2 linked regions of the Macaca fascicularis genome follow. The protein of the gene in region 2 purifies or fractionates together with the protein of the main gene of each other region. This does not show direct contact. Links are inferred from orthologs where the notes say so. Each region holds a gene or a part of one and is shown on either strand. Other genes may lie near its edges.

Region 1 (4,499 bases), on a different chromosome or scaffold from region 2:
ACAGTTCAATTCTGTTTGAAAAAAAAAAAAAGCAGTATTTCAAATGTGTTCTTTAGGCTCATTAATTTACTTTATTCTTGAAAAGAAACATACCAGCTTACGAATTCGGTCCAACACAAGGTCAATGATCTCCTTGCCAATGGTGTAGTGCCCTCGGGCATAGTTATTGGCAGCATCTTCCTTGCCTGTGATGAGCTGCTCAGGGTGGAAGAGCTGGCGGTAGGTGCCAGTGCGAACTTCATCTGGAGAAGGAGGGAGAGAAGGATGGAGGGAGTGGGTGAGTGGGTGACTAGCGGAGCCCCCCAGGACAGACCTCCTGTCCCAGCATCCTGGGATCTCACTTGGGTTACTGAGGTCAACTCACCAATGACCGTGGGTTCCAAGTCTACAAACACGGCCCGGGGCACATGCTTGCCAGCGCCCGTCTCACTGAAGAAGGTGTTGAAGGAATCATCTCCTCCCCCAATGGTCTTGTCACTTGGCATCTGACCATCGGGCTGGATGCCGTGTTCCAGGCAGTAGAGCTCCCAGCAGGCATTGCCAATCTGGACACCAGCCTGGCCAACATGGATGGAGATGCACTCACGCTGTGGGAAGGAAAAGTGAAACAATTGTAAAATTAAGGCGTATTAGCATTTCAAACTCTTAGTAAACTTTTAAAAATATTTCTAATAATATACAGATATTTTTCAAAATTATTTGAGGTCACATCCCTAGCACGATACAAAGATTAAGGAAAATGACCTGCTGCAAATGCTGCATATGGGTGTGGTCTGAATAATGATGTCGCCTTGGCCCTGTTCAGCACATGGTACCAGCCCATTGTGCCTACTACCATGCTTGAATAGAAGACTTTTCATATTTAAAAAGTATTCAGTATTCAAAGCACAAATTTTGTAAAATGAAGTAAATTCAATTATGACATAATTGGGATTAATTTTACTGCTTTCTTCCCTTTTAAATAAAGAAGAAAGTTTCTTCTGAATAGGACTGACTTGATATTATAACATGGACATCTGTACTGCAGCTGAGGCAAGAAGCCACACCCTTCTGCAGTCTGTCTGCAGAATCCATCAATACAAGGGGTTTAGACAAGGTCTGCTTCTGCCTTCTGCATTGCTGCATTGCTGTATTTGCTGTGCCTGGTGCTAGCCTGTACTGTCTGCTACATTATTTAACAGAGCAAGCTCTATTTCCAGCAACTGCCTACATGATCTCATTGTGCTGTTTTGCCAGTTTTCCTCCTCTGACCCCGCCCGGGACCATGTGCCTGAATTGAAATGAATTAATGAAGATGCACTAGAACAAAAGACAACGGGATGGGGAGTATAATTCTTCTTTGTCTGTAGCAATTTCATTCCTTTTTTTAAAGAAAAAGGTTTTTCCAGATCTTCTCCACTGTAAAAGCTGAAAAATTATCCGTATCTTCACACACACACACACACACACACACACACACACACACACACACACACCTTCCTAAGTTAGAAACAAGCATCACATGAAAAGGTAGCAAACAAAGAATAAAAGCCCAGTGGAACGATAGTGAAATATTTATTTAAAACAACAAAATAGTATTTTAATCCTGAGATTCTCTACCCACCACATAATATTCATATTCTTTGCATCCAATAGAGGTTTTCTTCTCTGTGGTCTTTAGGGCTACCACTTTCATTGTCTATTCGCTGATGTGGTGGGGGCGGGGCGGAGGGGGGCGGCGGGGAAGGGCGTTTCCCTGGTCCTGACCATCAGGGTACCCTGGGGCTCACAAAGTGGGCTTTCTCCCTCGCTGAACGAGCAGCGCGCGCGCACACACACACACACACACACACACACACACGACCATCAGGGTACCCTGGGGCTCACAAAGTAGGCTTTCTCCCTCGCTGAACGAGCAGCACGCACGCACACACACACACACACACACACACACACACACACTTCAGTCGGTCAGGGCAGGGCGTCCCCAGACCAGACATTAAAGAGTTTGTCAAGTGAATTGTGATTTTGCTCAAGAGAAAAAAAAAGGTCATCTTAATTATAATAGCGAAGAAAACCCTTTTGGAGCCTACAGTTCCGCAATGATGAAAAGTTTTTTTTAAGTCAGCTCCTGACAGAGGAGGTTTAGTGAGGGCGAACCCCGCCCAGTGGCTCCAACGCCATAGAAGCCAGAAACAAACAACCCCGCCCCTGCGCCGCCCTGACACCCGCTGCCCGGGGCTCCAGTAGAAACTCACCATGTTTCCCCGGGAATGTGTGGTTATCTTTCCAAAACGCCAACGACCGCGAGGGGTCTTCCCACGCTAACCCCAGGCTGCGCTTTGTTCCCGTTCCCCCTCCCACATCCCCCAGCTCGCCCAACGCCCCCGCTCTTTTTGGGTGCCTCCTCCTCTCCCGGTCCCCAGAGAACGAGGCGAGACAGAAAGGGGCCCCTCGGCGTCTGCGAAACCGTGCGCACAGACACTGGACCCAGCCGGGACGCCCGAGACCCCTCGGTCGCGGCAGACGGGCTGCCCGCGACCCCGAAAGGCTGTAGGACAACACAGGCGCCCAGGCGCCGCCTTTGTTCCTCCCCAGCGCTCTGCAGCGCCCTGGGCGCAGTCCTGGCCGGGTTCCTGCACCCGCACTGCGGCGGCGGCGGAGCTGGAGGATTTGGGGTAAAGCTAAACCTCACAAAACACACCACCACCCTCGCCCAGAGAGCTTACGAAAGAAAAGAGCTTAAAGATTTTCCAAGCAGAGCCTGGGGGCGCTGACTCCACCCAACGGCCACAAAGAGCCAAAGCCGATTCTCACCATGGTTGCTGCTTCGCGACTGCAGAGCAGATGGCGGAGACAAGGAGGAGAAGGTTGTTGCTTCTTACAGCGCGACTCTTAGGCGGTCGATGTAAGAGAACCTGCGGCACATGGGCGGATGCGGCTCCATATATACAACTCGGTCACCATGGGGATGGGCCGGGGCCTGTTCCTGTTGGTCCAGACCCCCAATCTGCCCAGAGAAGCCAGGACAGGAGACTGGTGATTGGTGCAAACGACGTGGGATGAGGTAATCTCTCCCCCACCCCTTTTTCTCTAGCATCCGTAGACTGTTTGCATCCTTTAGACAAAGAGACCGTGCAGAAGCATTCTGCCGAGCATCCATTATGGGGTGGGGTCGGGGAGGGGCGGAAGAAGAAAGGGGACTGGGGTTGGAAGACTTTATGTTGCTTAAACCTCAAAATACAGTTAAAATTATCTATGTGAGGTTTTTTCCCCCTACCCTTAATAACAGATTTATGTTCAGATTAAATATTTAAAGGAAAATTACTGCCAGCCCCTCCCTCGCAGTATATTAAACTCGACTACATTTTGTTAGGGTTCAATATCTCTAATTGCTTTAAAAATAAAGTGGGAGAGAAAATGGGCGTAATGCTCAAAACGGTCTGGGTAATTGTGATTTTTTTTAATTTAAAAAAAAGATTTAGTCATACAGTCATTCAAAATGGTTTCTCAGGTTCAACTAACTTATTTTCAGAGCTTCTTTTGCAGGCACATGCACACTCGAATAGCTAAATAAAACTGGAAGATGGAAATAATAACCATACTAAATAAAGAAGCGAACAAATAGTTCTAACATGGCAATAATCAACAGCAAGTGCACGTAGAGTAGTTATAATAGTTTACTAGAGGTATTCCTTTATGAGAAGTCTATGTAACACATTTTGTGTGGTGCATTGTCCTTTGGAATGAATCATCTTTCCTGATATAAAATTGGGAAAATACAAGGAGAAATAATTGAGCTCAGAAGTTAGTACTACATGTGTGCAGTTACATATCTGCACTGGACTTTTGTCTGGAAAGTAACAAGCAAAATAATAGTAATAACCAAGACACCAAATTAAAAAGAAGAAGAGAATAATATAATGTAAAAAGAAGACTATTTTGCAATGTTGCCTCCATCTACAGACAACTGTGAAACATCAGCTCAATAACTGCATTTCCTTTTTATGCAGTTCTTATGTCAATTTGGTAAATATCCTCCTGCGAGTGGGCTTCTGACTGTGGGAATTTTAGCCAGCCTCACACCCTTGCTATTCAACTAGAGACTCTGGTGGTTGCTCAGTTGCCCCTTGGGACAAAAAGGCTTTGCTTTCACCCCTAGGAAATAAATTGGAGTAACATTGTCTTGCTATTTAGAAAGGCTCCATTCTCAGCAACGATGGGCTATGCAGAGTGAGTCACTGGATTTCGTACCACTGGATGTTGGTGATGAAATTTCAGAGGTAAGTAAGTTTGGCCACTAAAGTTGGAAATTTATTTTTTACAAATAATTTTTCCTTTTGGTTTTCAGCGGCAGATTTTCAGGGTGGGCAGCAACTACTCACACAGCACTCTGCGGAGCCCATTCATTCCTGCCAGGCTGGCAGGCTGAGCAGGGCGTGGGAGGGAGGGACTTGAGAATACAGCTGCTGCAGGTTGTGGTGTGACAATGGCGACCACGAATTTTTCTAGCCTGCCAT
Region 2 (4,539 bases):
CATCATCCCAAGGCTTTGAAGGTGATCCCCCATCTCCAGGCTTTGAGAATGATCCCTCACCTGAAGGCTTTGAAGCTGCATCTTTGGGGCCCCAGTTATAGGAGACTTCTTTGTCTAGGCCCCTCCCCAGGAACTTTCCAGGTAACATTGGCACATACTCACTGTTGTCACTCTGTCCCAAAGGTGAGCTCTGAAAAGGGTTTGGTAGAGAGAAGTAGGAGCTCCAACTTTTGGAGGAAGAGCCACCCTGAGGATTTCTGGGGTTTTTTGGAATTGCACCGGCTCCGGGAGCCATAAACATGTAGTCACTCTCACTGTCATTGTCCTTTGAGTCATCCTCTTTATTAGTATCAGGTGCTTTTGGAGGACTGGGAGCAGGTGGTGGGCTCACTCTGGGAAACATCATCATGTACCCTCCTGAATCTTCAAAAGGGGATCGAGAGTGGCGCTTTTTTGAAGCAGAGACATTTTGAGGAGCCATTGGCATATAATCACTGGAGCTTACAAGAGGGGCAGCCACCCCTGGCCTCATTGGCACGTATGGGTCATCCTCATCTTCATCAAAAGCTCTGGCTCTGTGGGGACCTCGAGCTGCACCTTCTGGGATCTCTGCATCTTTCACTTCTTTGGCTTCTTTGCGCTCTTTTGTGGCTCCTCTGTCAGCACAAAAATAAAGTCGGAATCTTCCCCCAGACTTCCCTTTTCCACCAGTTGCTCCAGCTGGTGGGGGCGGAGGAGGAGGTGGTGGAGGTGGTGGCATGTGCTGTTGCTTGCTTTGAGTTAATTTGCCAAAATAGGATCTTTTCTTCAGAGATTTTCCACGTTCACCATCAGCATCGGATCCTTTCCCACTTCCTGAGCCTTTGCCCCCTCCAGAGTTCTTGCCACCACCTGAGCCATGCCCACCTCCAGGTCTCTGGCCACCACCTGAACCTTGCCCACCTGCGGTGCTGTGGCCATCTCCAGAGCACTGGTTTCCTCCTGAGCCCTGGCCATTTGAGCCCTGGCCACCACTTGAGCCCTGACCACTTCGGGATCCCTGTCCCTCGCCTGAACACTGGTTTCCTCCCGAGCTATGGCTACTGGAGCCTTGGCCACTTGAGCCCTGGCCACCTCCTGAGCCCCGGCCATTTCCTGAGCCCCAATTGTTCATGGGCATGTAGTCGCCTCCGCTTCCTTCCTGATCTTCTTTGCCCTGGGGATTGCCTTCCTCCCCAGAGTTGCCAGAGCCAGAGCCAGACACTTCAGAAGACAGGCAAGCTCCATTGTTCGGGGCTTCTGCAGGGTGCGGGGGACGTGCTGGGCTGGGTGCTAAGCGGTGAAAAAAGCTGGCCGGCACTGAACTCGCTCTCCTTGACCTGCGCCCTCTGGGCAGGTGCAGTCTTCCTCGCCTGGAGTGGGGCACAGGCTCGCTGGGTGTTAGGAAACGCCTGGTGAAAAGCATCTCGTCTTCCCCGTCGCCGATGGCCCTGAGGTGGCAACACTGCTCAAAGCGGGACCTTCTGAGCCAGCCTCCCGGCTCGAGCGGCAGCAAGCCCAGGTGCCTCCTAGCGGACAGCAGGGTTAACAGGTGGGCGCCGATGCTGATGCTGTAGCTGCGGCAGCGGGCTCTGTATTCGTCTGCACACAAGGCTCTCATCTTCTCCAAAAACAGCTCATGCATGTTTTGGGCAACCACACAGTCATCGACCTGCATCCAGAGCTCTCCCGGACCGATGACGGTGGACCTGCCTACTTCCAAGAAGAAATACTGCTCCGAGTGTCCACAGCGACGGATGCTCAGGAGCTGGACGACCACGCTGGCCACTTCGGTGTTCAGTCTCACAAACACAACCTCCTCGTCGGTTAGACACAGCCGGAACACGCCGCTCAGCTCTTTTCTGTGCCCCAGCCCCCTGGGTTTGACTATTACCTGCCACACATCTTTATAGAAGGGTGGCTCCGCTGCCGCTGCCGCCGCCAGCGCGGCCGGCTCTCCGTCCGGCTGCGCGCGGAGCGTGCCGCAGCGGCGGCGCTTGCTCTCGAGGATGAGGCGGCTGAGCAGCAAGTACCAGCTTTCCTGCTCCGACTCGTTCTCGGCCACCATCGCGAAGTACTCGTCCTGGGTGAAAAGGGCAATGAGGTGTCGGTACCTTGCATCTGCTCTCTGGCTCACGGAAAAGCACTGGTATAGGATGATCACGCGTCGCGGTGGAATGAGCCGGGGGATCGCGGCGCCAGAGGCGGCCGCCGCTGCTGCAGCCGCCGCGGCGCGGACACTGTGCCGGAACTTCCTGGCATTTTCGTAGTATTCCAGGCGAGCTGGGGCGTCAGCAGTCTCGAGTTTGAGCACGAAGTAGCGCCTGTGCCCATGCTTCTGTTTCCGCAGGTAGCCGCGTTTGCAGACTTCCTCCCCGACGGGGAGGTCCTCCTCGTCGGACTCGGAGTCTGACCGGGAGCCAGTGGCCGTGGAGAGCCACATGGCTCCCGGACAAGACGACCCGGTCCCAATGAGTGCGGTCGGGGTTCCCGAGGAAAGAAGCGGGGTGGTCACCACTGCTGCTAGAGCTGCCGCTGCTGCCGCTGCTGCACCTCTTAGTCTTCTTGTCGCTTGGTCGCGAGTGAAGGAGCAACTCGCCATGGTGATGCACGATGGTTTTAAGGTGAGCGAGGAGGAGGGGGAATTCAGGAAAGGGAGGGTTGAGGGAAGAGGCTGTCTACCCCCGTTTGCCCGCCCCAGCCCCCTCCTGCCTTGGCCCGCGCCCCCGCCCACTCCACTCTAAGCGCACGACAGCGGGCAAAACAACACGTGACCGAAGCCTCACGCGGCGGCCGCTGCGGATCCTGCTACCGGCGCAATGGAGGGGCGCGAGCGGCCACCAGTAGAGGTGTGCAAGGGAGGAGGCGGCGGGCTTGGGAGGCGGAGCCACCTCCAGCTGTGCCAACACCCTCCCGGTGAATCTCCAGGCCTGTGGGCCAAGAGAGGACTAAGAGGAGGAGGCGGGGCTCTCTGGCCAAGCAGATTCTACCCGGGAGTCGAGGAAGGCATGAGCGGGCGGGAGAAGGCCTGGAGGGGCAGAGGAGAAAGCGGCCGGCTATCAGGGCTGGGAGAGGGCGCCACAGTCGGGGCCCCATTGGTGGGAGGTGGTGGGGGGGGCGCGGAGCGCAAGCAGTGCCGGCGGCGCCGGGGTGCAGAGCCCGCACAGTCGCCGGACGGTTTGTTTGTTTATTTGGGAAGCGGGAGCCAGGTGAAACTGTTGCAAGGCTCTGATTGGCTGGAATAGGAGCCAATGGGAGGGTCCGGCAAGAAGGCAGTCCCGAATTCATTAGTTTGGCGGGAGGGAGGGGTGAGAGGGGAGAGGGGGCGTGGCTGGGGTCCCAAAGTGGCTTCGCTGTCGGCTTGTGGCGCTCTCAGGCGGTAAACAACCTTACGCAAATAGCTGTTAATGGTGGTGGTAAACTCGTGCAAATCCCAGAGCCATGGTGACCCGGGACGGAGTCGGGTGCCCTGGTATTCCCTGTCAATCACATACATTCTCTGTTCCTGTCACAGTCTGGTTTATTCTTTCCAGTCGCTCACGGCGGCTGGTCGAGCTTCTTGGGAAAAAGTGTCGGCACCCCTTGAAAGCGGGTTGATGACCCGGGCGCTCAGACCCGCTTCCCACCGCGCTGCAGGCACTTCCGAGCCCGCTCCACCCCTGACGAAGCCCGCGACTCTAAGGCACACGAATAACCACGATGAATTCAAAATGAACATGATCTTTATTAATCAGAATGCACTTCTAGCCCACGAAACACAGGTTCCCTAAATACAGTGTTTCTGCCTATTTGATTAACGATGACTACGAAAGCACAAATTTGGGGGCCTGCAATGTATACAGCCATATTGGAAAAGATTGGACTCGATTCTTACTGAAATAACCAGTGTTGGGCTGTGAGGTATTTTTCTGTGGGAAATGCTTTGGAAGGTGCCTTTAAAAGAATCTCAAAATATTGCTTTCCTTTCCTTGAGCGAGACCGAAAAACTTTAGAAAAAGAAAAGCTCATACCTAGAACAAAGGACCACGCTGAATGCATATTCTAGAGCGCATTTCACATCCCTCGCGTCAACAAGAAGAAGGTGAGGAGCTTTGATGCATTTCAGTCTACAAGTTGACATCACAAAAGTAAGAGCTGCTGCCTCCCTAATTTCTGGAAAAACTGCCAGAGTGTAAGTGCAACCTCCTGAAGTCTCTCTCTCTCTCTCTCTCTCCCCCTTTCTCTCTCTCTCTCTCTCTCCCCCCCCGCCCCCCTCTCTCCCTCACCACCCCAGTTATTTCTTGACTAGAATTTTAGACTCCTCTCCCTCTCTCCCCCACCACCCCAGTTATTCCTTGACTAGGATTTCAGACTCTTAATGGTGGAGATGGGTCGTGAATTATCAAAGGAGTGACCACGTTTGCAAAGAGGAATGGAGGGACAGGAGGAAATAACAGCATTTCTCTCTGAAAGAATGGAATGTCAGTTCACCCTTGCTCTAGGGTTGATACGGCAAAGGGTACTATTTTATAAAATCCCACA

The links.
Region 1: the proteins of IRS4 (region 2) and tubulin alpha-1A chain purify together in Homo sapiens (affinity purification with mass spectrometry; 3 studies listed by BioGRID and IntAct, with this or other methods). This does not show direct contact. The link is inferred for Macaca fascicularis from reciprocal best matches to the Homo sapiens genes IRS4 and TUBA1A.

Annotation. Positions count from the first base shown.
Region 1 is NC_088385.1:56,001,642-56,006,140, forward strand, and holds the start of tubulin alpha-1A chain, read right to left. Parts: upstream 2,902-4,499; 5' UTR 2,800-2,901; coding exon 2,797-2,799; exon of another isoform or gene 2,241-2,796; coding exon of another isoform or gene 2,238-2,240; intron 588-2,237; coding exon 365-587; intron 243-364; coding exon 94-242; intron 1-93. UniProt on the Homo sapiens protein: Tubulin is the major constituent of microtubules, a cylinder consisting of laterally associated linear protofilaments composed of alpha- and beta-tubulin heterodimers.
Region 2 is NC_088395.1:115,335,265-115,339,803, forward strand, and holds the start of IRS4 (insulin receptor substrate 4), read right to left. Parts: upstream 2,840-4,539; 5' UTR 2,621-2,839; coding exon 1-2,620. UniProt on the Homo sapiens protein: Acts as an interface between multiple growth factor receptors possessing tyrosine kinase activity, such as insulin receptor, IGF1R and FGFR1, and a complex network of intracellular signaling molecules containing SH2 domains.